Elephas maximus indicus: one gene and its partners. The protein of the gene in region 1 interacts with the protein of each later gene in a pairwise test. Links are inferred from orthologs where the notes say so. Each region holds a gene or a part of one and is shown in the gene's direction. Other genes may lie near its edges.

Region 1 (7,205 bases):
AAGCCACCGGGGTTTCCACAGACAAGTTACACAGGCTTTTCTGTACCACTTGATGTTTGTTTTCTCAGTGGTTACTTCTTTAGCTCTGTGATTCCCTACTGCTGTCCTGGCCCTCCCCTCCCCTGCTGCCTCCTCCGCTCCCCCAACACCGTGTCATAGACAAGTGCCCTCTCATCTCAGCTTTCTCAGCAGTAGGGGTGTTCTTTCCCTTCCATTGGGAAAGCGATCCCATTGTGCTTGGATTGCTTATGGCACTGGTACTTGTTGGACAAGTGGTGTGAAAGAGGACACTAATTCCAAATCTGCTTCTCTCCCTTCTCTGGGCCATGTAAAAACCAGTTGCCTTCGAGTTGATTCTGACTCATGGTGACCCCATGTGTGTCAGAGTAGAACTGCTCCATAGGGTTTTCAGTAGCTGATTTTTCAGAAATAGATCACCAGGCCTAAAAAAAAAAAAAAAATTTTTTTTAGATCACCAGGCCTGTCTTCCGAGGTACCTCTGGACTGATTTGACCCTCCAACCTTTCTGTTAGCAGCTGAGCACCTGAACTGTTTGCACCACCCAGGGACTCCCTTTGGGGCAGGGAAAATAGCAGATTTACAGTTCTCCCAGGCTTGCCTCCTTCCATCCCTACCCCCAAGCTGTTGCCAGCTCAATCTTTCTGAGCGGAAATGTTACTTGCTTAAAAACCTGATGACTCACTCCCCTTTGCCCCTCCAGCCTGCATAGGCCACGTAGGCACATGGATCGATTTTGTTTGGTCTGCATGGTGTTGGCCTCCACAAGGCTTAAGAACAATTTAAATTAGTAACAACATTAAAGATTGGAAGATTTCTTAGAAAATCCAAGATTTTGGTTTCTCTTGAAAAATTGTTAGATGGTAACAATGGACAATATGGACTGGGTAGGCTGCCCCTCGGACGTGCAGCGATCTCTTGAAACCTCAGCGACCACGTAGCCTTTTTGTTCCCTCACCTTATCTAGGTAGGCCTGTGTGTGCCCCTTTTACAGGATTTAGTTCTAACAACTTAATGGGGGTACGGGATCCTTCACAGTTAGGCCCCACCCTCCCTCTGCCCCTAAAAAAAACTTCCTGCCAATTCCCACATGGATTCCTATAGTCTCTATACTACTAAGTGAGTAGTTGTTTGCCTGGTTGGTTTGCTTATTCTTTGTTTATTTTTTTGACTGAAGGGACCATTCTGTAGACCTCTCTGGATCATGGATTAGAGGCCAGGTGTGTGTATTTGTGGAGTGTTTCAAAGGTGTTACATTTTAGATTTTCATCGTGGATTCACCCAAAGGTTCTGTGAAGGGGAGAGAAGCAGAGGGAAGAAAGAGAACAGAAGGGGCCGTTTCTGTGCTTAAGGTCACTTCCAAAGCAAATACAGTTCATCTGGTTACTTGGTCATGTATCTGCAGACATTCTGCTCTGTGAAGCTGTGGTAGTTAGGAGCAGCAAAATGGTGGTTCACCTTGGTTAGGATATCTGTTGTCAAAACATTATTGCCCATTCTTTCCCCAAATTACAGGAAAACTGATATATCAGCTTGCCTCATTACCTGTATTTCTGGCAAATAAAATCAGTGCAAGCGGTTGAGTGGTTCTTTATTTCATTGTTGCTCACGTTAAGTCCAAGAATTGGCAGAAGAGTGATTTTACTGTAGCTTTAGCTTCAAAATTTTGCTGTATAGGTGGGGCTTTGTCTTATTGGGACCATCACTGGTCTGGGCCCTGTTCTCTACTAGTTCAGAATTTAATTTTCTCAGCAGTCAGGCTTTTGGAATTCATGTCACTTTAGCCAAACTCACTAGGACTATTTGTAAACTAGGATAATCATTTATCATACATTGGTTGAACAGCTACTGAGTGTGTGGCCCTGTGCTATTCTCTGGGGAAACAAAAATAAATCATGCAGATGACATGGCCCTTGCCCTTTAGAAACTTACAGTCCCAAAGTGGGACAGATATATGAACAGACACCTTATACATGGTGTGCTAAGTGTAGGGTGACCTTACATCCTGGTCTGCCTGGGACACTGCAGGTTTATGCCTTTTGTCCTGTTGTAACTATTAAGAGTACAAAACTACTGAGGGCCACAGCAAAAGCCTCTATGAATGAATGAGGCATAGAAATGTTAACAGAAAGGCAGAAATCAGCCTGATTTCCCAGAGTAGACGCTGCTGGGTGAAGAAGGCTGTTAGGGCAATTAAGAACTCCAAGCTTGGAGGGAGGGGGGTTGTTCCAGGTGTGTGCAAAATTCTGCAGGCAAAAAGGAGATTGTTCTGGAAGCAGCAATTTGTTGGTTCGAGCTAGGCATTTTTCTGAATTTTTGTGATAAACATTCCCCAGGGTACACGGTAAAAATACAGATTTTCAGATCTTGCTGGTAATCTGGATTCATGGGTCTGAAAAAAAAATTTTTTTTTATGGGTCTGAGAATCTGGTTTTTAAGACGCGCCCCCAAAGCAGAAGGCATATTACCACCAATTCTCTACCAATTGCGGTTGCGACTAGGAATACAAATGAATGGGAGTGGGGCGGGGGGGAGGCAAAACAAGATGACAGCACTAGTCACAGGTCAGCCAGGCAGGGGTGACCCCAGGTGAAAAAAACTCTCACAAGCCAAACCAGTTGGGAGATTAACAATAGTTCCAGGAAAACAGGGAGTGACAGAACTATGTCAATCACAGTAGGGATACAAAGAAATGAAAAGATTGGAGAACTATTCAGGATGAAGAATGAACGGGATTTAGTATATGCCAGCTTATGATATATTTCCAGGCAACAGGGCATTTATGTCAAATATAGAAACCTGGGGAGACCACAAAATCATGAGTTTTACTTGGTGAGCATAAACCTAAAGAAAAAATAAAAAAAAAATAGTTGAATAGTTTTGTGGTACATTTCATCTGGATCTAAAGGATGATTCCTGCTTATTTCACAGCTCTGTCATCCCTAGAACACTCATGACAGTTGTGTTTATCTCTGAGAAGGAGCTGGGTGAATTCTCAAGCATCCAGACACCCTAACTCTTTCCTTTTTTAGGCTTCAAACACATGCCTGCGTTATGGCAAGGCTACCTGCCAAGTCTTATCTTGCATTATTTTTGCTTTTGTTTTTCTTATCGAATGTGTATGACAGTCGAGATTCGTCAGCAATATGTGTGCCAACCCGTTTCTGGGGAGACGGTCAGTCTCTTGCAATTTCAGCATGACCTTGTCCCCAAATTCTAGAGCTGCTCTCTCTGTGAGAAGCTGCAGCCGCCTCACAGATCCACTGCAACTCTGGGAAATCATAGATAGTAACAGTACAAGAAACAGGCAAGGAGGTCTTTCAGCCTTTGAAGTTGCCGAGTTGGTGGTTCTGAGAAGAGTAATCCCTAAACAGAACATGAAGACAATCTGAGGAGAGCTCTGTGTGTCCCTTCAAACGGAAAAAGTGTTTTTATATTTTTAAGGCTGCCTTCACCAGGCCTGTTGACAAACCAAGTCAAAAATCAAGTGATGCAAAGACTTGGGAGTTATGAAAACGACGCCTCAAAAAGGAGAATGGGACACCGACCAGACTGTAATTTCACAGGGGTAATTTAGCACCGTTTACCCAAGACTGGACAACTTCAGAGCCTCCAGGAGTGCGGTTTGGGGAGGCACAAGGCATCTTAAATTCCAGTCCTTGGCCACTAGCGCTCGTAGAGTTGCTGAGAGATTTCCAAAGCCTGGGAGTGCTAGGGTGGAAGATGACCAGGCTGAAATCTTCCACCCTGTCGGTACCAGCCAGGGGAAAAAAACCAGTCAACAGTGGCTCCAAAGCCTTTTTTATAAGGGGCTGAACTTTTGTGCGATCCAACATCAGCAATACGTCATTAAGTCACTGTAACGGAATGAAAAAACAAAAAGGGAAGGAGGAAAAGTCCAGCGTGCACAGACTCAGAAAATGGATTTTCCCCGCCCCTGAGAAGCACAGTGCTGTCGGGGTCGCCCGAGTCCTCTGCCCGCTCCCAAAGTCGCAGCCTGGAAGCCCCTTTCCCGCAGTCGAGTCGCAACCAGCGCCGCGCCGCGGCGGGGGGATCCGCTGGGAGCATCGCAGACTTCAAAGCGCCGGCGCCGCCGCCGCCCCCGTCCGCGCGCGGAAGTAGTACGGTCCGAGGGGGCGGCTCCTGGGGCGCGGCTCCGGCGGCAGCTGATGCGCGCCGGGCCGGCTAGGAGGCGCGAGCCGGAGACCCGGGGACCTGGAGACGCGGAGACGCCGAGGCCGAGCCGCCGGGCGCCGCGGGCCGGAGACCTGAGGCCCCAGCAGAGGCGTCTTCACCGCGGGAGAAACCCGGCCCGGAGACGGCCGCAGCGACTGGGAAGGAGGACGAGGAGGAAGCGGCGCTGCGTGCCGGCGGAGAGGAAGCGCTCCACCCGCGCACCCGACGGCGCTCGTTTAACCACATCCGCGCCTTGGCTGGAACCGCTTAGGGGCGCCTGTCACCGGTTCCCTCCATTTTGAAAGGGAAAAAGGCTCTCCCCCTTCCCCCCCCTTAGGACCTGGAGCCGGAGGTGCCGCGTTGATGGCGTTCAGCCCTTGGCAGATCCTGTCCCCCGTGCAGTGGGCGAAATGGACGTGGTCTGCGGTGCGCGGCGGGGGCGCCGGAGAGGACGAGGCCGGAGGGCCCGAGCGAGACCCCGAGGAGGAGGACTCGCAAGCCGAGACCAAATCCTTGAGTTTCAGGCAAGTACACAGCATCCCTGCCGAGATGCAAACGTGCTGCCATCCATTCACCCGCGGCTCGTTCTGTGTGCGTGTGTGTGGTCGCCCACCCGCGTAACCGTGTTCATGGCAATGCTACGTCCCTGCCCATAACCAGGTCCCCGCTGTGCAGTCGAAAGTTCAGGGTGTTGTGTCCTCCCGTGTATTTCTTTCCTCCATGTCAATATGAGCTTTCTGAACCCAACCCAGAATCTGCAGCGTCTCCGCGTTCCCTTCTGCCTCGGTCACTTTCTCCAAGCGTCAACCCCCCAGCCCCTGCCTCTGCACACAAACACACACGGGCGGTTCCTTTGATCACATCTCGTGGAACTTAGAACCTTCCCTGTGGGGAAGAAGTCGCCCCCTGGCCCTTCAAGGCCCCGCTGTGTCCCAAAAAATGCAGCCCTGGTAAAGAAGGTCGCGTGATGACAGGCCCTTGGCAGCTGGGGAGAAATGGTGGTCTCTGCTAAGCTGTCATCCGTGTGATTGCGGAAGGCAGGTGACAGCACTCCCAGCCTGGGGCCGAGTGGGTTCCAAACAGGTAGAGGCCTGCTGAGGAAAAAGGCATCATGGCGAGAATTGGGCGGGGGTGGGGGATGAGAATTTTTAAACCTGTAGGAAATGGCTCTTCGGAGGAAAGGAGTCTGTTAAAGCGCTTTTGGGGGGTGTTAGAGGGAGGGATGACTTCAAAAATAAACGGTGCTAGAGAAGAGCTCCAGAGGATCGAAGAGATTTCAGGGAGACAGGATGCCCGGCTGAGAAACCCAAGGAGGGCACCGCTAGGAAACCGTAGCCAGCAGCCTCGGGCAGGGTGATCCGTGCCGAGGACCATTTGGATGTAAAGTTAGACAGAAAATGCTGGAGTGTGGCCTTTGTGACTATCTAGATTATAAAGTGTCAGAAATACCGTTGAAAGTGGTAATTCCTCGTTTTTCCCCCTTGGCAGCTCGGATTCTGAAGGTAATTTTGAGACTCCTGAAGCTGAAACGCCGATCAGATTGCCTCTCAAGGGATCCAGGGATTCGTCACTAGGATTGACAGGGCCTGGGGCCAAAGCCCAAGGTAAAGACAAACTTTCATTTTCTGCCTGTTCGGCTTTAAAGTTTTGAAAAATGTGCATGGGCGGGGGGGGTGCGAAGTGTTAATTTAGGACCACTGAAAAGGGTTTGGATTGTTTGACTCCTTACTCAGAAAGAGCTGTTTAGAGCTCCTGGGTTATTTGAGAGTTCCTTCTTTTTTTAAAGAGTGTGATGGTCACAGGCTTTCTCCCCTGAGTAGGGTTTATGTGTTTGCATTGTAAGATTATCATTATCAGACCTTCTTGCTGGGCCCTTCCCCTTTGCCCCTAAAGAACAAAACTTAGCTGGTAGTAATGCAGGGGTGGGGGTATGTTTAGATATGGCTTCACAAACCTCAGGCTAAGTCACTCCTTAGGGGTGTGGCTGGAAACACAAATTTTAGATAAGAATTGAGTTTTAAGGTAGATTCTGAAGAGGCTGTTTCGGAATGGCTTACCTCTCCCTCTTCCACGCAGGGATGAGGGGGAACCCCTTCAGCCCGCCTAAGAAACCCAGGCACAGATATCCCCTCCTAGCCCAGCCCAGCTTTGTGTCTGTCCTTCATCTATAGAAGCTGCTTCACTTAATTAGTGGAAACCTTTTTTTGTCACAAAGCCAATTTTGAATAAAACGTCACCTCTCCTGATAGGAATCATTCATTCATTCAGTAGAGTGCAGGGATATAGCAGTGCACAGAGTCCTGCTCTCGCTGAACTAACATTGTGAAGGGAGGTGGACCTTTTAAGGGTTGAGCAAAATATATATGTGAACTTATATTGGGTGCTATGGAGAAAAATAAAGCAGGGGGAGGGGGAGTAAGGAGTATGAGGTGGGAGAAGGGAAGCATGGTTGAAAAGGTGAGTTAAGTGGAGATATGAAGGAGGATTGAGGAAGCAAGCCTCGTAGATTCTCAGGGAAAGAACTTTTCATCCAGAGAGAATGGCATCTGCAAAGGGCTGAGGCAGGAGCAGCCTGCGGGCAGTGATGCCAGGTGGTGGGAGGGTGCCTGGCATGTGTGAGGACCAGCAAGGAGGCCACTGTGGCTAGAGTAGAGTGGCAGAGGGAAAGCCGGAGCCGGAGAGAAAAGGGCAGGTCCAGATCACACTGTGATGAAGATTTGGTTTTCCTTCGGGTTGATGGAAGACACTGGAGAGAGCCGAGGGTCTGTGCGTTGACTTTATTTGTAAAAGCTCACTGGTTATTGGATTGAGGAGGGACTCTGGAAAGATGTCCTTTTTAAGGGGTTTCTCTTTTCCAGTGTCCGTCACTGTCACCCAAGAATGGCACAGACAGCTTGCAGTTACCAGTTAATTTTTGAACTATGACTTTCTCTCCCCACAGTGACTGTATTTTATTGCTTGATAACTTCTTCGCAAGTTGCATAGGGAAGTCTAGTCACTTTGGTGAAAGG
Region 2 (6,989 bases), on another chromosome or scaffold:
CTTCTGAAAGTTTGCACCAGTTGTATTCCCATTGCATTAATAATTGATACAAGGCTGATTCTCCAAATGTGAAGATAATTCACATCCCTGCATTCCCATTTCTTCATCTCTGACACCAACCACCCACATGGCATTTTCTCTCTCTGCCCCTAACCACCCTGAGTTAAGTCTTTACAAAATGACTGCCTGCACAGCCCTCTTCTGTCCACCAGCCACCCAAGGCTGGGGTCTTTACAAGTTAGGACTCTATCCTTCTAATCAACTGCCAAAAAGGCAGGCTCCAGGCCCTGTTGGCCCTCATGACCCAGGTAGGTTCAATAATTGCTAGAATGGCACACAAAACTCACGGAAAGGACTATAGTCACTAAAACTTTTAATTATAACCACAAAAGGATATACACGAACAGAGGCACAGGCAAGGTCTGGGAAGAGTTTTTGGCACTGAGCTTCGTCCCCAAAGATGTGCCAGTCCAAGGCCTAGGGTCCTTTTTAATAGTCATTGGGACCTCAGTGTATATGTGTGATGGAGTCTTAATGTATAGTCAATGACTGATTGAATTACTGAATATGCATGGCTGCATAATACCCCTCTCCCTTCCAGAAGTTATTTCGATTGGTGTGGTCTTTGGCCTCCCACCTCATCGGCTTATAGTGACCCTATAGGACAGAGTAAAACTACCCCATCGGGTTTCCAAGAAGCGCCTGGTGGACTCAAACTGCTGATCTTTTGGTAAGCAGCTGTAGCTCTTAACCACTACACCACCAGGGTTTCCTGCACATGTTTAAGTGTTGTCAAACACTTAAACAAATCTGTCTTGGAAGAAGAATAGCCAGAATGCTCCTTAAAAGAGAGGATGGTGAGACTTTGTCTCACGTACTGACACATGTTATTAGGAGGGACCAATCCCTGGAGAAGGACCCTCATGCTTGGTAAAGTAGAGGGTCAGCAACTAGAGGATGACCCTCAACGAGATGGACTGACACAGTGGCTGCAACAGTGGGCTCATACATAGCAATGAGTATGGACCAAGCAAGCAGTGTTTTGTTCTGTTGTACATAGGGTCACTATGAGTTGGAATGGCACCTAACAATAACAACAATAAGTGTTGCCAGACTGTTTTGGAAAAACAACGGCACTTTGATTGCTTGAGAAATTCCAAGGGCTATTTTCAGGAATGAGAGACAAAATGCCAACTCTTTGTTCCACACACCCACCAACCCTGTGTTTGAGTGTCTATTTCTCCAAATCCTGGCTAACCCAAGGTTATTAAACTTTTTCATCTTTATCAAGATTTTTGAAAGATTTTGATAGCTCTGATTAAAAAAAAGTATTATTGTGGTTTTAATTTGCTTTTACCTATCCCCTCTCCATTAAAAGCCTACTGGTAACCTGTTTATCCTTCAAATCTCAGATTAAAATTTCATCTCCTTTACAGATCCCCCACCCAGTGGTGTCACTAGGGTTGGTTTCACCTAGTGCGATGACTCATGGTGTCACCCCCCCATGCTAATTACCACAATATTGTAGCTAAAACACCAGAAAATTGACAAAATCAGTCACTATAAAAACACCACCAGCAACAAAAACAACAGTGCATGCTTGTAGAGTGTGCAGACAAAACTATGTGATTCAAAGCTCACTGTAATTGGGTAATAATGACAGCTCTGACCAGTGCATTAGAATGTTCAAAAAGTAAATGAGCATAGAGTTTTATCCTTTAGGTATACTGAAACATGTAAGCTGGGCTTGTGAAAAAAAATTTTGTTGCTATAACTACAGGAATTATTATTATTTTTGTTTGTTTACAGCTCAAGTTTAGTTTCTCGTACAAAAATTTATTCACACATTGTTAAGTGACCCTAGTTGCTATCCCTATAATGTGACCACACATTCCGCCTTTCCACCGCGGATTTCCTGTGTCATTTCATCCAGGTCCTTATCCCTTTTTGCTTTCTCATCTTGCCTCCAGAGAGAAGCTGCACTAAGAAGCACACTCTTAAGGAGTGTCATTTTACGTCTTATAGTCCAGTCTATTCTTTGTCTGAAGAGTTGGTTTTAGTTCTGGGTTAACAGACAGTCCAGGGGCCATGTCTTCTGGGGTTCCTCCAGTCTCAGTCAAACCACTAAGTCTGGTCTTTTTCCTAGAATTTGGGTTCTGCTCCCCACTTTTCTCTTGCTCCGCCAGGGATTCTCTGTTGTGCTCCCTGTCAGGGCAGTCGTCGGTGGTAGCTGAGCGCCATTTAGTTCTTCTGGTCTCAGGCTGATGGAGTCTCTGGTTTATGTGGCTCCTTTTGTCTCTTGGGCTAATATTTTCCTTGTGTCTTTGGTGGTCTTCATTCTCCTTTGGCTCCAGGTGGGTTGGGACCAATTGACATCTTAGATGGCCACTTGCTAGCTTTTAAGACCCCAGATGCCACTCACCAAAGTGGGATGCAGAACATTTTCGTAATAAATTTTGTTATCCCAATTGACCTAGATGTCCCCTGAAACCATGGTCCCCAGATCCCCACCCCTGCTACACTGTTCCTCAAAGTGTTTGATTGTGTTCAGGAAACTTCTTAGCTTTTGGTTTAGTCCAGTGGTGCCAACTTCCCCGTACTGTGTTGTCCCTCCCTTCACCTAAGATAATTCTTGTCTACTACTTAGTGAATTCCCCTGTCTCTCCCTCCCTCACCACCCTCGTAACCATCAAAGAATGCTTTCTTCTGTGTTTAAACCTTTTCTTGAGTTCTTATAATAGTGGTCTCATACAATATTTGTCCTTTTGTGACTAATTTCACTCAGCCTAATGCCTTCCAGATTCATTCATGTTATGAGATGTTTCAAGGATTCATCATTGCTCTTCATCGTTGTAACTACAGGGATATTTTTAATAAAAACTCAAAAAGTTCTGCTCTAAACATTGCACAAAAATTTCAGACAGTCATTTTTGTGTTACTCCCTCTGACAGTGTCACCCAGTGTGATCTGCTGTGACTCCACTGCCTCAGCCACTGAATTTCTCCCTTCACTAAGCATTTACAGCTTTTCATTATACAGTTCCATACAGCTTTGAATTTTAGCGACTTTTATCTTCCTACCACTGTAGATTGCAAGTTCCTTGGAGTTAAGGACCTGATCTTTTTCACAGACATATGAATGTATTGCTAAACAAGAATTTTAGAGAACATATTAACCAAGCTTCTCATTTTTTAAAATAACAAGAGTATGGAGTATTTGCAAAATGAGTTACAGTTCATAAAGGCTTTTCCCAGACATTTTTAATTAGTTACATTAAATCCTCACACTAAGCTTGCAAGGGAAACATCGTGCTATCGATGTTTTTTTATTTCAGATTAGGAAACTAAGCTCCAGGAAGATTTATTAACTGAGTAATGTGATTTACTCAGTAATAGGTCCAAGACAGGGCCCTGGTGGTTAAGCCTTCGGCCACTATTCGAAAGGTCCGCAGTTCTAATCCACCAGCCGCTCCGTGGAAATTGTGTGGGGACAGTTCTACCCTGTCCTATAGGGTCGCTATGAGTCGGGATCAACTCGAAAGCATTTTTTTTTTTTTTTAGGTCCAAGACCAGAATCCACCGTCCTCGTCCCGTTCCACTACATCACATCCCAGCTGCTTCTCCTTTTCCTCATAGCACTTAGCCGCACAATCAATATTTTCTGAACGAAACGACTGAAAAAAAATGCCAGCTGTAGACAGCAGCTTAAATATCTGAAATTAAATAAAGCAAAAGTGCTGACAGCCATGGGTACACATCTCTACACACACCTCTCGTCCTTTCTTTCGGGATCGTGGGCAGCTTTCGCTCCAGCGAACCTCTCTTTCTCCTGGGAGTTTCCTCACCCCAACAGGCAAGGCACGGTCCCGAGGGAAACACGACTCGCGCGGCCCCTTTAAGGCTGCGGGCGGCGCGTGCCCACAGTCCTTTCAAATGGACCAATAGAAGGGCGATGGGCAGTCAGTCGAGCACCAATAGACAACGAGGACACTGCGGGGTGTGCGGCGGCCCAAGCGGTTTTAAACGGCTTAGAGCAGGCCCCTCGGTTCTGACCCGGCTGAGGTGAGTGGGCGGTGGTCCTGACCCAACCACACAGGCCCGCAGATCTCGGCGTCGCGCGCGCGGAGGGTCCCCGAACCCAGGTCGGAGGACCTCCGTGGGCGCGCGCCTCCCATGCCCCACGAACCCGGCAGAGCTGAGGCGGCGAAACGGGGCGGAGGCCCGGGGACCTGCGGCTGGGAGTGTGCGTGGGGCGCCGGCGTGCGTGTGCGACCGAGGCCGAGGCTGGGTTCCCGGTGACCGGAGGGGCGCGGGCGGCAGCACCCAGGAGGCGCGAGCGGCGCAGGGCCGCGGCTAGCGGCTGTGTTCCGGGGTTGGGGCGGGGGCCCTGCGAGCCGGCCCTGAGATTGTGCTCGTCACGTAATTGTCGAATGAATGAATGAGAGCCTGGGAAGACTGTGGTGGTTCTGAAGGGCCCGGTCGCCTCGGAGTATGATAAGGGCGGTGGTACCGGGGCCTGGCCGCGCACCTCTGTCCCTACTGGCTTGCTGCGATTTTAACGATTCTGGTCATTCACCGCTCCGGTGTTAACGCCTGACTTTCTCTAGGGCAGGAGGCTAAGCCTTTCAAAGGTGTCGATAGAATTTAGGTGGCTTTCCAGTTTTGTAGGGTTTGAGGACCAGTATAACAGCCAGCAGTGTAAGCTAATCAGGCCTTGCTAGTTCGGGGAGGGGGGGTGCTGGTAAACTACACTCTTACTTTTTAGCGCTTAACCACTCATCGACCATTGAGATAGTTACCCTGCAACCCTGGTAATTGTCAGGAAGAATTTAAATGCATCCTGTTTTGTTTCTGGCATAGAAAATGATGAAATTGGTGTTGCCAGGGTGTCCGCTGTGGGTTAGAAAATATACGTATTTGTCTCGATGAATCTTAATGAGTTTTTCGTTCAGTGTCTCTATAGGGTGAAGTGGTTTTTGCAGAACTTGTCCCACATTTATGCATGGCTCTAATTTAATTCTCGGGGGAACCAGGGCATCAAATCTTGGCCCAGAAATGCTGCCTGTCTTATTTTATGTATAATTATAGTAATTGAAAACTCATTTTTCGAAAGGTGAGCTCCTCCTTTCCCCATTTTTATCTCTCTGAGAAGTCCTTTTTTGACCTCACGAATAGCAGCTGCCAATAATTAAGCTAAGTTTTTTGAAACTTTTATGAAGTCATAAAATATTTGGACTTTCTATAAATTACTGGACAAAATGTATTGTTTTATAAAAATTAATGATATAGAAAAAAGTGAAATCGATTTCTTTTGCCAGCATAAATTAAACCTGGTTTGTAAATTCGTGAGAAAAAATTTTTAACACAGGTTTTCACACAGGCAATATTTATACTTTATTCTCTTATTACTTTAAAAGTCTTAATCATCAGGGTTGAATTATAAGGAGTGGTGTGAGGTAGTTCCACCACAACTAAAGCCTTCTACAACTGACAGCTCAATTTTAGCAGAGTTTTAAATTGTAATAAATTTGAGTACTTTAAATATTACGAACACTGGTCTAGGTTCTGAAGAAGCAGTTAAAAATAATGAGCATCTTTAACAATGCCTTCGGATAGTGTTAAAAGTCTTGACATACGGCCAGACTTTCTTTTGCTTCTTTGATTTAATGGGGTCTCATTCATTTATTCAACAAATACGGAGATTGATATCTACTATGTGTTAAACCTAACTGAAAGGTTGGTGGTTCGAACCCACTAGCCACTCAGTGGGAGGAGGATATGGCATTCTGCTCTCCAGCCAAGAAAACCTATGGGACAATTCTACTTTGTTCTATAGGGTTGCTATAAGCTGGAACCGACTCCATAGCACACAATGACAGCACTGTTCTAAACTCTATTCTAGGTTCTGGGAATACCCTGGTGATCCAGAAAAAGACAAAGCCCCTGACCTTAGGGAGTTTTACAGTTTTATCCCCCCAACAATTTATTGTAGCAAATTGTAATTTTTATAATCTCTGTGGCCCAGCTGTGGTCCTTGAACAAAATAAATTCTCAAATACATTTATTAGCACTAGCTACATTTTTTGAATATTCATTGGGTGCCACATTTTATCTTTTCTAATCTTCACAATGGAGCCCTGGTGGTGCAGTGGTTAAGCATTTGGCTGCTAATCAAAAATCCACCAGCCAGTCCTTGGAAACCCTATGGGGCAGTTGTGCTCTGTACAGTAGGTCACTGTAGGGTCATGAGTTGGAATTGACTTAACTAGACAGCAATGGGTTTGGTTTTTTTGGTTAATCTTCACAACAACATTTTACAGATGAGGAAACTGAGTCTTAGAAAGGTTATGTAACTTGTTCAAGATCATACAACTAAGTGACAGAACATCATTTTGAACCCAAGTTTGTCTACAGGGTCTTTGTAAGGCTCTTAACCTATAGTTAATGCTATGTGAAGTAATGGGGTCTGATAGGGACAATTCACGAGCAATTTCTGTGTAGAATCGCTCCTTCCCACACTTTTTTTTCTTCTATTTAAAGACATGATGAAGTATGAGTGACAGGCGCGTGGTAGTTTTTAGAGGGAAGATGGACACAGTTGAAAATACAGTGTTAGCAATATGGGAGATAGACAGCTGTGACAGTGTGGTGGGGAACTGGAGGGAGAATTTAAAATTGAAGTCTCAATCCAATTATAATTTATGAATTTCTGGTCGTCAGTTTTGGAGAGTTTTGAGGTTCTTAAGGGATTCTGGTGTTCTTTCTTCTAGAGTTCAGAATATGTTACTTAGTCCTATCAGGGCAGTTGTCGTTTGCTGTCAAGTCAATTCGGACTCATAGGCGCTCTGGTGGTGCAGTGGTTACGCTCTCGGCAGCTGACTGAAAGGGTGGTGGTTCAAAACCACAGCGTAGGAGAATGATGTGGCATTCTGTTTCCATGAAGATTACAGCCTAGGAAACCCTATGAGGTTTCTTGTCTGTTCTGTAGGG
Region 3 (7,758 bases), on another chromosome or scaffold:
TCTCTTCCCACAGATGTAGTCAGTTTGATTTCTGTGTGTTCCATGTGGTGAGGTCCATGTGTATAGTTGCCGTTTATGTTGGTGAAAGTAGGTATTTGCGATGAAGAAGTCGTTGGTCTTGCAAAATTCTATCATTCGATCTCTGGCATTGTTTCTATCACCAAGGCCATATTTTCCAACTACTGATTCTTCTTCTTTGTTTCCAACTTTTGCATTCCAATCTCCAGTAATTATCAATGCATCTTGATTGCATGTTCGATCAATTTCACACTGCAGCAGCTGATAAAAATCTTCTATTTCTTCATCTTTGGCCCTTGTGGTTGGTGCGTAAATTTGAATAATAGTCGTATTAACTGCTCTTCCTTGTAGGTGTATAGGTATTATCCTATCACTGACAGCGTTCTACTTCAGGATAGATCTTGAAACGTTCTTTTTGATGATAAATGCAATACCATTCTTCTTCGAGTTGTCATTCCCAGCATAGTAGACTATATGATTGTCTGATTCAAAATGGCCAGTACCTGGCAGCCTACTTCTGAAAAGCATTAGCCAGTGTAAACATCCTTGAATAAGGTAGCCAAAATAGGGTAGACGTGGGGAATATTGCTGGTATATACTCAGAGCTTTCTAAAGAGACAATGGAAGATTCTCTAACCTTCTACTTTAATTGATATTGTCTTTGCAGAGTTTGAGCAGTAAGAAAATTCCTCTGGGGAAAGAAGTGTGTAACTGAGCATTTTAATAGGGAGGAGGCTTAATTTTAAATTAGATTACTAGGTTGGAATGAGACCTACTATTGTTGCTACAATAGCAGAGGATAATGATAACACATAGTTATAAAGAATAGCTTATAAAGAATTTTCACATACCATACTAAATGATTCTTACGGCAAGCTTGCTTGTGTTTGACAGATGAGAAAACTGAAGCTTGAAAAGATTAAATTACTAGATGCGCAGGGTCATACAGTTTATAAGTGACAGAGCCAGGACTCAAATGTGCTTTTCTGACTTGAAGGGCTTGAAATAAGAAGCTTTCATTATATCTAGTCCCCTCAAACCCCCAGGAACAAAATTTGCAATAATTAACTACAAGAGCAGTCACTATATCAACAGTTCTGATATTTTCTTTTCTTAAACTTTACAGTGGTTGAAATATTTACTGTTCCACCAATTATCACTGAATTTTAGTACTCCAGGAACAGTCCTATGGAATCAGAGCTTCAGTCCTACTTTTTCTGGAATTCCTAAATGGCATATTCATTTATTATTTTTTTGCATGTTGTTAGGTACTGCCGAGTTGGTTCAGACTGAGTAACCCTATGTACTCTGTGTACGACGGGAGAAAACACTGCCTGGTCCTGTGCCATCCTCACAGTCTTGTTATGCTCGAGCCCATGGAGGCATTGTGTCAGTCCATCTTATCGAGGGTCTTCCATTTCTTCACTGATCCTTTACCAAGCATGATGTCCTTCCTTCTCTAGGGACTGATCCCTCCTGATAACATGTCCAAAGTATGTGAGATGTAGTCTCAACATCCTTGCTTCTAAGGAGCATTCTGACTGTACTTCTAACACAGATTTGTTCATTCTTTTAGCAGTCCATGATATATTAAATATTCTTTGCCAACACCATAATTCAAAGGCGTCAGTTCTTCTGTCTTCCTGATTCATTTTCTAGCTTTCGCATGCACATGAGGTGACTGAAAACAACATGGCTTGAGTCAGGTGCACCTTAGTCCTCAAAATGACATCTTTGCTTTTTAACACTTTAAAGAGGTCTTTTGCAGCAGATTCGGCCAATGCAATGCATCGTTTGATTTCTTGACTGCCGCTTCCATGGGTGTTTAAATTGTGGATCTAAGTAAAATGAAATCCTTGTCAACTTCAATCTTTTCTCCATTTATCATTACTTTGCTTATTGGTCCATTTGTAAGGATTTCTGTTTTCTTTATGTTGAGGTGTAATCCATACTGAAAGCTGTGGTCTTTGATCTTCATTAGTAAGTGCTTCAAGTCCTCTTCACTTTCAGCAAGCAAGGTTGTGTCATCTGCATATCACAGATTGTTAATGAGTCTGCCTCCAATCTTAATGCCCTGTTCTTCTTCACAGAGTCCAGCTCCTCAGATTATTTACTTAGCATACAGATTAAATAGGTATGGTGAAAGGATACAACCCTGACGCACACCTTTCCAGACTTTAAACCATTTAGTATCCCCTTGTTCTGTTCGAATGACTGCCTCTTGACCTATGTATAGGTTCCTCATGAGCACAATTAAGTGTTCTGAGATTCCCATTCTTCACAATGTTATCTATAATTTTTTATGATTCACACAGTCGAATGCCTTTGCATGGTTAATAAAACACAGAAAACATCTTTCTGGTATTCTCTGCTTTCAGGCATGATTGGTCTGACATCAGAAATGATATTCCTGGTTGTACGTCCTCCTCTGAATCTGGCTTGAATTTCTGGCAGTTCCCTGTTGATGTACTGCTGCAGCTGCTTTTGAATAATCTTCAGCAGGATTTTACTTGTGTGTAATTTTAATGATATTGTTCGATAATTTCTGCATTTGGTTGGATCACCTTTCTTTGGAATAGGCATAAATGTGGATCTCTTCCAGTTGGTTGGCTGTTTTCCAAATTTCTTTGCATAGACGAGTGAGCATTTCCAGCGCTGCATCCATTTGTTGAAACATCTCAATTGGTATACTGTCAGTTCCTGGAGCCTTATTTTTCACCAGTGCCTTCAGTACAGCTTGGACTTTTTCTTTCAGTATCTTCCGTTCCTGATCATATGTTACCTCCTGAAATGGCTGAATGTCGACCAATTCTTTTTGGTGTAGTGACTCTGTATTCCTTCCGTCTTCTTTTGATGCTTTCTGTGTTGTTTAATATTTTCCCTGTAGGATACTTCATTATTGCAATTTGAGGTTTGAATTTTTTCTTCAGTTCTTTCAGCTTCAGAAATGCTGAGCGTGTTCTTCTCTTTTGATTTTCTAACTCCAGGTCTTTGCACATGTCATTATAATACTTTATTTTGTCTTCTCGAGCTGCCGTTTGAAATCTTTTTTTCAGCATACTACCTTAATATTTGGACAGGATAGTAGTGAAGTGAGATGGTAAAGGTTGAGTAAAAAATGAAAGTGGAAATTTTAGCCTAATAACAATGTAGAAAATGGTGTGAAGGAGTGTTCCAGAAATTGACTAGGCTTTAGGTCTGGGCTTTCACACAAACTCCTAGGGCTCGACGGTAAAAAAAGTGAGAAGGAGGGAACAGAGTTGAGAATAGCCTCTGTCTTAGTTATCTACTGCTGCTATAATAGAAATACCACAAGTGGAGGGCTTTAACAATCATATATTTATTCTCTCCATGTTTGGGAGTCTGGAAGTCTGAATTCAGGGCACCAGCTTCAGGGGAAGGCTTTCTCCCTCTGTTGGCTCAGGGGGAAGGTCCTTGTCATCAGTCCTCCCCTGGTCTAGGAGTTTCTCAGCACAGGGACCCCGGTTCCAAAGATACGCTCTTCTCCCTGTGTTCCTTTCTTGGTAGTATGACCCCCCTCTCCCCTCTGCTTGTTTCTCTCTTTTATATCTCAAAAGAGACTGACTCAGGATATATCCTAATCCTGTAGATTGAGTTCTGCTTCATCAACATAACTGCCTCTAACACTGCCTCATTATCATCATACCCAAAACCCATTGCCATTGAGTTGATTCCAACTTATAGCGACCCTATTGGACAGAGTAGAACTGCCCCACAGGGTTTCCACGGAGTGCCTGGTGGATTTGAACTACAGACCTTTTGGATAGCAGCCATAGCTCTTAACCACTGCGCCACCAGGGTTTTCGATTATCATCATAGAGGTTAGATTTACAACACATAGGGTAATCACTTCAGATCACAGAATGGTGTACAACCACACAATACTGGGAATCGTGGCCTAGCCAAGTTGACACATTCTTGGGGGACACAATTTAGTACATAACAGTCCCTAAAAAAATTATTTCCTAAGCACTAGGGAAACCTAAGCTTGAATAGCCACTAGTCTCCTTTTGTCTCTACCAGGGTCCTGTTTATTGTGAAACTTAGTTGTAAGAGTTTCATAGTTTTAACCCGAAATCTTTTATTGAGGATATAGCAACTTCTCTAACTGGTTTCGGAATGGTCTACTTCATAACACTTTTGCAGAGAACCAAGATAACCCTACTTCGTTGTGATTATTTTATAATTATGTGTAATACTGGAATTTGTAATAAGGGAGGGGTAGAAATAATGTTTTATGTCTTACTTGTCAAGCTCTTTACATTCATCGACTCTTATAATCCTAGGTACACTCCTGGAGTACTGTTATCCCCTTTTTATGGATGAGAATAACTGAGGCTAGCTATATCACACTTTACTTAGGGAGATAAGACACACACCAACATAAATATAACGTGAGACAAGATAAATGTTTACAGTGTAAAAGCCACGATTAGGTGCTATGAGTGGCCCTGTGAAGCAAGTATTAGCATGTACAGGACCCCTTTACTACATGCTTGCCTCAACAAATTAACTTCTTGAGGTGGCCACACAGTTGTATTCATAGGATTGACACCTTGGGGGCGCGAACCCAGAAAGGATTCTGTGGACGGTGGGGGTTACGTGCTGCACATGCACCGTCCAGTCTGAGTGCCCTAGGTGCTCTCCATTTAAGGAAGTTGGCGGGGGGGGGGGGGGAAGGGGGCTGGCCTTGTGGCTACATCCTACACCCCGTGTCCTCACCCTCCCAGCCTCTGCTGCCGCTAAACCCCGGAAAGCGGAGCGTGCACGTTGAGATTCCTCGGTGTGCCTGGCAGCGGCTGCTGGGCATGCTCAGTGGGCAGGACCCGGTAGAGTGGCGAGTAAGGAAGCGTTGGCTCTTTTCCGGCTGTTTTCCCCGGTTCAGGCCCCAACCCTGGGCTTTTGTGTGTGCGGAGCTGCAGCCACCACCGCGGCCTCCTCGCACGGCTTCCGGACCTTAAATGCTGTGTGGCCTGTCCGGTGTCCGCCGTTAAACTAGTAGCCCGGCCGGGAGGCGGAGCGGACGGGGCGGGGCCGGCGGGCGGGCGGGCGGGCCAGCAGGCAGAAGGGCCCTGCCCGGGGTGGGGGTGGGTGCAGGGAGCCCCGTGGGGGTGGGGGGAGGGGCGGGCACGGAGTCACGGGGGTGGGGTCACCGGCTGTGGTTCGGAACAGCCGACTAGGAGGGGAGGGGCCGTGGGGGCGGCCCCGGGGAACCAGCCCCGGTTGGGGAGCAGCGGCGAGTCCGGGGGCCCGGGCCAGGGCTTTCCGGGCTTCGGCGAAGCCGCCGAGGGCCCCATCTTCCGGCGCTTGCGGAGTTTGTGGTGATTGTTGGTGTCACCGCCGCCGCCCCGGCTGCCATCTCCTCCTCCTGGGCCGCCGCCTCCTCCTCTTCCTCCTCCTCCTGGGCCGGGCCGATCCCCTCCCCACTGCCGCCGCCTCCTGGGCCGGGCCGCGGTGTCTCGTCCCCTAGCAGAGCCGCTCCTGCTGCCGTCGCCTCTCCTCATTCATCCTCGTGCACCATAGGCGGCACAGGCACCAAGATGTCCAACCGAGTGGTCTGCCGGGAAGCCAGTCACGCTGGGAGCTGGTACACAGCCTCAGGTAGGGCCCCAGGCCGGCCGGCCGGTTGGTCGGCCCGCCGCCGCCGCCGCCGCCTGGCCCCGCGCCCGGCCGGCGGAGGTCGGCGGCCTGGCCCCCAGGGGACAGGCTGGGACGAGGGTGCGGACGGGCCGCCGGCCACGGTCCGCGTAGGAAGGGAGCGGGCCGGAGGACGGCCTCGCCGCCTCCCCCACTCGGGCGGCGTCCGGCGCGGGCAGCCTGGGTCGGCCGCCCTCAAGCTCGCCCCAGAGTTGGGCGAGTTGCCGCCTCGGCAGTCTCCTCCTGCCCGGGGCCAGGTTCGAGGAAGGAATGTTCCCTGTGCTTCCCGACCCGAGTGTACTTGTCACCTCTCCACGGAGGGGCTTTGGTTCCTCTGGCTCCCGGGAAGTAGGCGGCCGCCACCCCCACCCGGGGAAGGAGTCCCGCTTCTCCCACACCAGAGGAGGGCGACCCTCCGCCCTCTGCCGAGCGAGGGACTTGCTCTCCTTTCCTCCCGCCGGCGAAGCCTGAGGCGCCCTCGACCAAGAGGGTGTTGTCTCCATCTGCACACCTGGTTCTCTTCACCCCTTAACGTGAGAGGAAGTCTTTTCTCCTTTTTCCTCTGACAGTTTGGAAAGAGAGGCACCAAGGTGCTCCGCGCTCTTGAAAGGCTGGGAGTGAAGGATAGTACTTTTTCACGTACTCGACTAGACAAGGTCTCAGCGTGTGAGCTCTGTAAAAGAAGAGCATTCTTCGGGATTTGTAGCTTTGTATGTTGGGGTAGTGCAGAAGTACTGCTGAGAGAGGCTTTGGGTGGCCTCCCAGCTCTTTGTTAGTGTTTTCATTGTTACTGTCATTCACGAACGGGGCAGCTGGAAATGGCATCAGCACTTTTCCAGAGCAGCCTCCCCAGTGTCTAGTCGTTCAACACCAAGCAGCTGCTGGAACTACGTAAGGAACTAGTTTAACAACTGTTTACATACATTTTAGAGTTCCTTATATAAGAGTGTATGGCTTTCCCTTTTAAAAAGCTCTTGTTAGAACGACTGTTTTCTGGGATTATTTTTAGGAGTCACATATTCTGGTATGTTAAAAAAGAAAGTTCCACTGTGATTCCCAAGTCTTCAGTCATTTGGAACTGGTTTATCAACAACTAGACCTAACTTCTTAATGTTGAATCAGATCGTGTTCCCATTGCAAATAATTGGGTTGGATAGTGCTTCTATTTGTGAGAAAACTAAGATTTGGAAGAAAATTAATTTCTCTGAGGTTGCTAAACTGGCTCTTAAATATACACACCTTACTTGCTGAAGATATGCTGTGTCAGGAAAACACAAAAGTATTGTCATGGTTGGATTTATAATTCTTACAGTTAGCTATAGTTTTGTATTAAACAAGTACTATTTTTTTTTTTTTTATGGGTACAGGAAATACCCTTCATGATCCTAAAGTACTTCATAAGCATTTAATCAGTTCTCACAACCTGAGGATATTAGTTAAGCTATTCTGGTTAAACTTATAGAGAAACATGTAGAGAAGTTCAATAATGTGCCCAAGACAATGTCTATACTAAAACAGTGTCAGAACAGCAGTTGAGAAATGGGAGTCCCTTGCTCTTGGGTTTATCCTCCAATCACCAGGCTAGTGTCTTATTAATACTCAGTTTGTCAGTGTAATAGTCTTTCTGGGCTGTAAGTTACTAAGCTTTTTCTTCCATGCTTTGTTATTTAGTTTTCACTTTGATGCTGTCTTTTGGTTTATTTTTGTATTAGTTTTCTGAACCTTTCCATAAATGTTTTAAACTTTTTTTTGAGTTTGCATTGAAATGTGGGCAAATGATTTTAGAGGCATTTTTATAGATTCTTGAACATTTTTTGGGGTAGTAAAATAAGGCATAAATAACACTTTGGACTTGAAAAGTCTTCTTTAGTATATCTTCTCAAATATAAGATGAATCCTTTAAGGTTGTTTCCAGTTCAGAAAATTCTGTGATATAGCTATTTCTAAGCAGTAAGCTAAAATTAACTATTAAAATTTTAAACATCTGTATTTTCTGAAATTCTGAGTGAAATCAATAATGTCATTTTGGTAGCGTGAATTGTCAGAGAACCTTATTAAAAAAAGATCCAGGCTTTGTGTGAC
Region 4 (7,281 bases), about 5.2 Mb from region 1:
GGAAAGTTGCACCTCTGGTCTTTCTGGCAATATTAAGGCTGCTGTGTGACAACTCCAGGGGTCACCTTATACATCATAGTCTCTGTGTTTAGCACCTCCATAGAGCTGGTATTAGGAAGACAATAAGGCTGAGGGACATTCAAGTCAGATGGTCCTGGCCTTGAAAGCTGGCAAGCAGTTTAGTCTTAACTCTTTGTGCAAGAAAAAGGGTGGGCACCAGAGGTTTTTAACAACCAGATGATGGATCTGAGTCAACGCTGAAAAGATGAATTTGACAAGTCTATCCAGAAATGTCTGACCTGGAGAGCCTAGAGCAGAGTTTCTGAGTGTGTTATCTGCAACCCCATCTCTGACCCAGTCACCTGGAGTGGTTGTTCAAAATGCAGATCCCGGGCCCCATGGATATTGTATTTCTTAGGTTTGAAGTGTTTAAATAAGCCACCTAGGTGTTCCTGTACGCTAAAGCTAGCTAAAACTGTCTCAGAAACAAGACCAGTTAGGAGCTATATTACTTGTACAGGGCCATGCCATGTGACTGTACACGACAGCCCTAGGAAGCAGCATTCCTAAGCACCATTCTCAAAGGAATGCCTGGGAACACGTCATTAATTTTTTTCTTTTATGGTGTTCATAACTACAAATAAATGGCAAATAAAAATTAGTAAATAGATATTTAGCTTTCCTCTTTATGTACTGGCAGCGGGTGGAGGAAACGCTTCCACCTGAACAACGTGCTGGTGGCACCCATCTTACAGGGCTGAACTGCCAATACCCAGCATGCAGTGCCTGCCCTGGCTAAGGCCTGGTTGCCTAGATACCACATTGTATCCAGAGTGTTGCCAGTAGGTGAGTCAGCAAATCTCCCTACGTTCCTGTGACAACACATTGTAGATCATGGAGTAAGGAAATGTTTTCTACTGAGTGCTACCAGCCCAAAAGGAGAGAAAAAGTAGTTGAAGGTCACATAAATAGGTAACAGGGTCCCTTGCTTGCTTTCTTTAGAGCCATATAAACCATTCTAATTGCCTATTTTGGAAATTAAGGAAGCAATGTATGTTTTCCATTCCACATTATGTCAGTTGAAAAAGAAAATACTGGGAGGCAGGAGGGAGGGAACAAAAGGGAAAGGTGGTAGAGGAGAGAGGAGACAAAGAGAAGAGATTGGAGAAAAAACTACTGAAATAAGAGAAGAAGAGGAGAGACAGTTATAAGTACACGAGAGAGGCACATGACAAAATGGATAGAAAGGAGACAATGAAAGTGAGACTGGGTCCCAAGCTGAGAGAATGGCTGCACTATTTTTGTCCAGTCTACATTCATTTGGGCTGTTAACATTCATTCAACCAACATTCATTGAATACCTACTGTATGCCTTTAGGTATTAAGTATATTTAGTCTTGTATAGGACATGTTCCTTGCTATTGGGGGTCTGCGGCTTCAAGGGAGCATAAAATATACACACTGTTATTCTCCGTGGCAGCCATGCTGCACTGCAGATGGTAGCAGGGACCCTGGCTGTCTACTTTCTGCCATCCCCCAGTATCAGTACTGGGCCTGGCACCTAGTAGGAGTCCCGTAAATGTTTCTAGGGTGTGTTAAGTGCTAAACTGTGATACACTTATGGCTGAGGAGAGGATAGGTTTCCTAAAGATTGAATTTTGAAGGACAGTTGGGCTTTTCATAAGCAATGTTTGAGACATTTTGGACAAAGGGCATGGTGTGAAGCTGTAGTGTTTGTGTAGGTTTAGGACCTGGAAAATGCCAAAATATCTGAATGTAGGGTTAAGCACTTGACTACTAGCTGCAAGTCTGGTGGTTTGAATGCACGCGGAGACCCCTTGGGAGAAAGGCCTGGTAATCCGCTTTGGAAAGATCCCAGCCTTGAAAACCCTACAGAGCGGTTCTACTCTGCACACGTGGGGTTGCCATGAGTTGGAATTAATATGATCCCAAGTAACAGGAACAACAGGTTAGTATTAGGAAGACAATAAGGCCGAGAGACATTCGTGTCAGATGGTATTGGTCCTTGACAGCTGGCAAGCACTTTAGCCTTAATTCTTTGTGCAGGAAGAAGTGTGGGCACCAAAGGTTTTTAGCAACTGGGTGATGGATCTGAGTCAGTGTTTGAAAAGATGAATTTGACAAGTCTATTCAGAAATGTCTGACCTGGATTGCCTAGAGCAGAGTGTCTAAGCACGTGATCTGTATGTAACCCCACCTCTGACCCAGTCACCTGGAGTGCTTGTTCAAAACACAGATCCCTGGGCCCCTCTGCTACTGTATTTCTTAGGTTTGAAGTGTTTTAAGTAAGCTACTTGGGTAAATTTCCTGTACACTAAAGCTAACTAAAACTGTCTCAGAAAGAAGACCAGTTAGGAGGTATATTAGTCCTCTATTGCTGTGTAGCAACTCACCCAAAAATGTAGTGGCTTAATTAAAAAAAAAAAAACAAACAACTTTATTATCTCGAAGTTTGTAGGTCAGGAATTCAAGAGTGGCTTTGTTGGGAGGTTCTAGCTTGGAGTCTCTCATGAGTTTCCTTTCTGGCTGTAGGCCAATGCTGCAGTTATCTGAAGACTTGAGTGGGGCTGAAGGCCCCTCTTCCGAGCTTACTCATGTGGCTGTTGGCAGAAACCCTTAGTTCCTCTCTGTGTGGGCCTCTCCATAGGGTTGCTCATGACGTGGCAGCTGTCTTCTCTCATAGCAAATTCACAGAGAGAGAGAGGGACACAGAGACAGAGAGGGACATGGGGGGAGGGGGGAGAGAAGTGACATACCATGTTCTATTGGTTACACAGACCAGCCCTGGTACAATGTGGGAGGGAACTATACAACGGTGTGAATAAGGGTGTGAATACCAGGAGACAGGGATCATTTCTGAAGCTAACTTGGAATCTGGCTATCACTGGAGGCATAGCCTATGGGTGAGGTGATAAGAACCTGAAATTGTAGTATGTAGTGTGTGATAGAAGCCCTGGTGGTGCAGTGGTTAAGAAGCTCAGCTGCTAACCAAAAGGTCAGTAGTTTGAGTCCACCAGCTGCTCCTTAGAAACCCTATGGGGAAGTTCTACTCTGTTCTATACGGTCACTTTGAGTTGGAATCAACTCGATGGCAATGAGTTTGGTTTTTGGTAGTGTGTAATAAAGGAGCCCTGGTGGTACAGTGGTTAAGTACTTGGTTGCTAACCGAAAGGTTGGCAGTTCAAACCCACTAGCCTCTCCTCAGAAGAAAGATGTGGCAGTCTGCTTCTGTAAAGATTACAGCCTTGGAAACTCTATGGGCAGTTCTACACTGTCCTGTAGGGTTGCTATGAGTTGGAATCGACTCCATGGCAACGGGTTTGGTTTTTTTTTTTTTCGGTTTAGTGTGGAATAATATGATTTAACATGCTTGAACACTTATCACTTGCCAGGATCTGTTGTAAGCTCTTTACATGTATTATTGCTGTCACAGCAATTCAATACAATAGGTGCTGCTATTATCCCAATGGGTAAACTGAGGTAAAATTGGTAGCAAAGGGAGACAGTTATTATAAAGAGAGACTTGTCAGGCCATGGAGAAAAACTTAGTGTGGAGGAAGGTAATTGGTTTTAACCAGTGTCCTACTGTCTGATAAACCACCCTTTAAAAAACTTCAAAATCCTTAAGTTTTAGGATTCATTTTGAGCTGGCCACATCAGCTAAGCATTGGCAAATCACACTCCAGCCTAAAGCCCCCCCCCCCGCCCCCCGCCAGGGCATTTATTTAATAAGCAGTGGGAACAGAACCAAATCAGGCCAGAAATTCTCCCCAAATAGGATTCCTAGAATGGGCTCCTAAACAGCTGGGTCATGTTTTCCATACAATACCCAGGATTTGCTCTCTGCCCATCTGCCCCTGCCCAAGACTCTAACTTTGAGAATCTTCTTCAGTCCGGAGACACTAGAAATGAGAAACAGTTTTATTTTTGAACCAGGCAAGCCTGGCTCCTGAATGTATCAGGTAGGCTGTGCAGGGGAGGAGAAACTGAGTGTTCACTGTTTATCTCTTCCCAACACACCTGCAATTAGGGTTCATCAAAGCAGGCGGTTTTTCTCCACACACTTTGAATGTTCCTGTGCCATGCCAAAATGCCCTATAATCTTTCCACTGTGCTTCTGCTGAACTTCCCTCCAAAATTCCCTTTTCCAGTCGTCTGTCAGCTCCTCCCTAGTGTCCTCACGCACCACCCTGACCTGTTCTTGCTGCATTCACAAGATTCCTTTACTTCCTTTCCTTTTCTCCAGTTTGCTTTCATTTCGTCTCCATTTCTCTCTTTTTCAGGCTCCATCCTCCCAGCTTTTCTGTTTTGGGAGCCTGTTCTACAAAGCCATACCTGTACTTACTTACAAGTGCCTGAGAGTTTGGTAATTTACTTACTGTCAACAAAACAAAGGAAGAAAGAAAGGAAAAAAAGCTCCATAGACGCAAGAACAGAACCCGGGAGGGTGAGCCAACTTGGCCTGCGGGACCCGGTCAGTGTAACTGAGAAGGGCCTATTGGGCCTCTGCAGACTCCTCCTTGCAAGAAACCCTGAACTTCGGAGTGAAGAAGAGGCTGGACCTGCTGATATTAATAAGTTCTGCAGGACCGGAGAGATGGCGTGGCAAGCCATCACAGACTACACACGACACCTCCAATTAACTGGGAGTGGAAGTGTGAAGGGACCCCACAGCAGGTAGGGGTCAGCGCGCAGGACAAGCCCTGCCTGGGATGCAGTAGGCAGCCAAGTCTCGCTGACAGCTTCCACTGGAGCCTCTCCTGGCGCACGGGTGGGGCCCCAAGTGCCCAGTCAGTCAGCCGGGCATGTGGGCCGCGGGTGGGGCAGCGCGGGCGGGCCAGGGCTGAGGGACGCTGTTTGCCAACATCACCGCCTGAGTGTTTGTCCAGCCAGTCTGTAAAGCTCGCGGGCGCCTTTGCTTTTCCCTGCCTCCCTTCCCGACAACTTCTGGAGGCCCAACTAGACGTGGCAGGTGCTGGGGTCCTCCTGCCCACGCGATCCCAGTGCCCTGAACAGGTAGATGCTGGGGGGGGGGGGGAGCAGACCAGAAAGGGGAGGCCTGGGAGAAGTGTGTGTGCGTGTGCGTGTGCGTGTGTCCGGAGTGTTCTCGAGCCAGACAGTGAAGGCCCGGGGACCGAGGGGAGGTGGGGCTGTGAGCGGAGGAAGGTCGGGGCGAGGCCTCGGTCCCGGCCGCGCGCCCTCCTCCTCCGCCCCCTTCCGTCCCGCCCCGGGCGCGCTCAGGTGTAGGGCCGAGCGGCTAGCGCAGCGGCGGCGGCTGGTGGACGGTGTCAGATGTCAGGTGTCGGGTGTCCGAAGCCGCCGGCTGGGTGAGCAGCGGCCCCGGAGGGCCGGGGGCTTGTGGTTCTAGGGGTGAAGCTAGAGGGGGAGGCCTTCGGGGAAGTTCTGGGGATCCCGGCGGGTGATACGTGTATTCGAGGGGTGTGTGAGCACACAACGCATGATTACGCACCGGGCGCAGGCGGGGCGCCTCGGGGTGGCCGGCGTGGGAGGATCTGGCGCTCCCTAGCTTTTGGACTCCAGCAGTAGAACGGTGCTGGGGAGCCACGTCTCTCTCGCTCTTCGCTCTGGTTCTGGGTCACCCGTCCACCTTATGACGTCCACCGCCACATTTGTGCGAACAAACACCCCGCGTCTATAGCACCATATTGACTTTCTCCTCGAGGAGATTTCTTGAGGGCTGGGAAAACTGTTTCTGCCGGCGCCCTACTCGGCAGTGGTTCCCGGGCGCGGCCACGTGGGATCGGTGCGCGCCACCTCCCTGGCCTAGGTGGGCCACAGGCTGCCGGCTTGGAAGGCAGAGCCAGGCACGGTGCCAGTGTGCTCCGGGTGGCCTTCCTCAAACAGGTGGGCACCCCTGCCCGCTCCAGCCGCGCTCCTTTCCTCGGGGTCCACGCACAAGTCTGAATAGAGGTGGGAGGGGAATTGGGAGACGCAGTGAGAAACCACGGTTTGTAGGTTTTCTGCTCGGCGTTGTGTCTCCTTGATCAAGGGTCTCGAGGCGGAAGCAACCCTTGCACCTGTCTCTAAACTTAGATTCTCCTCACCTCATAAAAGCCTGTTACAATTATTGGATACAAGTATTTTAAAAGTGAATAAGTATGTGGAAGGCATAATGTGGCCATAGATTTGTCATGAGTGGAATTCTCTAGGTAAACCCTTGTGTTGCAGTAAATTCAAATTTCCGAAGGCTGATATATGCTTATAAAACAACTTCCCAAATTGCTGTCCTCTCTGGTAATTCATTTTGTCCTCAAAAGCAGCCCCTTTACAGATTGAACAAGATAAGGGAATTTTGAAAATGGAAGTGGCTATTTTCAAAGAATTAGAAGTTAAAGCTCTATTATAACGTTAAAATTGTATTGCTCATACCACAATATTTTTATAATTTAGGCTGTTTCAGCCTTTTGGGGGGGAATCTTTGAGGGGTTCAGCGGCTGTGGCAGATGGGAGAATCAGATGAAATCTATGGACTTTATGGAAGACTGAATTGATCCTATGACTCTTTGGAAATTGGTTTTTGAAATGCATAGTAGGTGTGAGCTTATTGCTTATCTTTTCTGTCTTTTAGGACAAGTGCTGTACAAGAAAAAAACCAAGTTAGTTGAACTTTTTATTAGTCTTGAATAACTAGGAGTTGTTTGAATCATATCAGGGAATGAAAGTGGGAAAAACCCTGGTTAGTTAATTTCCTCATTTTTATTTCCTCTACCTTGGCTCCACTTGTGTCCATGGCGTCATACTAGATTATATCACATGTGGTTGTTGTTGGGTGCCACTCAGTCCATTCCGACTCATAGCGACCCTGTGTATAACAAAATGAAACACTGCCTGGCTCTAAGCCATTCTCACAATCCTTGTTATGCTTGAGCCCATTGTGGCAACCACTGTATCAGTCCATCTCATTGAGTGTCTTCCTCTATTTCACTGACCCTCTACTTCACCAAGCATGATGTCCTTCTTCGGGGACTGGTCCCTCCTCATAACATACCCAAAGTATGTGAGATGAAGTCTCGCCATCTTCACTTTCAAGGAGCACTCTGGCTGTTTTCTTCCAAAACAGACTTGTTCATTCTTCTGCAATCCATGGTATATTCAGTGTTCTTTGTCAGCACCGTAATTCAAAGGCATCAATTCTTCTTTGGTCTTCCTTATTCATTGCCCAGCTTTCGCAGGCATACGACGTAATTGAAAAATATCATGGCTTGGGTCAGGTGCCCCTTAGTCCTTAAAGTGACATCT

Evidence for each region.
Region 2: the proteins of TACC1 (region 1) and CKAP5 interact in binary tests that used the Homo sapiens proteins (3 or more experiments, as listed by UniProt). The link is inferred for Elephas maximus indicus from reciprocal best matches to the Homo sapiens genes TACC1 and CKAP5.
Region 3: the proteins of TACC1 (region 1) and MEMO1 interact in binary tests that used the Homo sapiens proteins (3 or more experiments, as listed by UniProt). The two-hybrid records come from large-scale screens. The link is inferred for Elephas maximus indicus from reciprocal best matches to the Homo sapiens genes TACC1 and MEMO1.
Region 4: the proteins of TACC1 (region 1) and SH2D4A interact in binary tests that used the Homo sapiens proteins (3 or more experiments, as listed by UniProt). The two-hybrid records come from large-scale screens. The link is inferred for Elephas maximus indicus from reciprocal best matches to the Homo sapiens genes TACC1 and SH2D4A.

What each region holds. Positions count from the first base shown.
Region 1 is NC_064840.1:61,920,597-61,927,801, reverse strand, and holds the start of TACC1 (transforming acidic coiled-coil-containing protein 1), read left to right. Parts: upstream 1-4,196; 5' UTR 4,197-4,557; coding exon 4,558-4,718; intron 4,719-5,682; coding exon 5,683-5,798; intron 5,799-7,205. UniProt on the Homo sapiens protein: Involved in transcription regulation induced by nuclear receptors, including in T3 thyroid hormone and all-trans retinoic acid pathways. Might promote the nuclear localization of the receptors.
Region 2 is NC_064825.1:102,292,517-102,299,505, reverse strand, and holds the start of CKAP5 (cytoskeleton-associated protein 5), read left to right. Parts: upstream 1-3,971; 5' UTR 3,972-4,061; intron 4,062-6,989. UniProt on the Homo sapiens protein: Binds to the plus end of microtubules and regulates microtubule dynamics and microtubule organization. Acts as a processive microtubule polymerase. Promotes cytoplasmic microtubule nucleation and elongation. Plays a major role in organizing spindle poles.
Region 3 is NC_064844.1:35,654,599-35,662,356, forward strand, and holds the start of MEMO1 (protein MEMO1), read left to right. Parts: upstream 1-4,749; 5' UTR 4,750-4,880; intron 4,881-5,232; exon of another isoform or gene 5,233-5,562; 5' UTR 5,563-5,579; coding exon 5,580-5,640; intron 5,641-7,758. UniProt on the Homo sapiens protein: May control cell migration by relaying extracellular chemotactic signals to the microtubule cytoskeleton. Mediator of ERBB2 signaling.
Region 4 is NC_064840.1:56,713,328-56,720,608, forward strand, and holds the start of SH2D4A (SH2 domain-containing protein 4A), read left to right. Parts: upstream 1-4,277; 5' UTR 4,278-4,698; intron 4,699-4,868; exon of another isoform or gene 4,869-5,037; intron 5,038-5,261; exon of another isoform or gene 5,262-5,348; intron 5,349-7,281. UniProt on the Homo sapiens protein: Inhibits estrogen-induced cell proliferation by competing with PLCG for binding to ESR1, blocking the effect of estrogen on PLCG and repressing estrogen-induced proliferation. May play a role in T-cell development and function.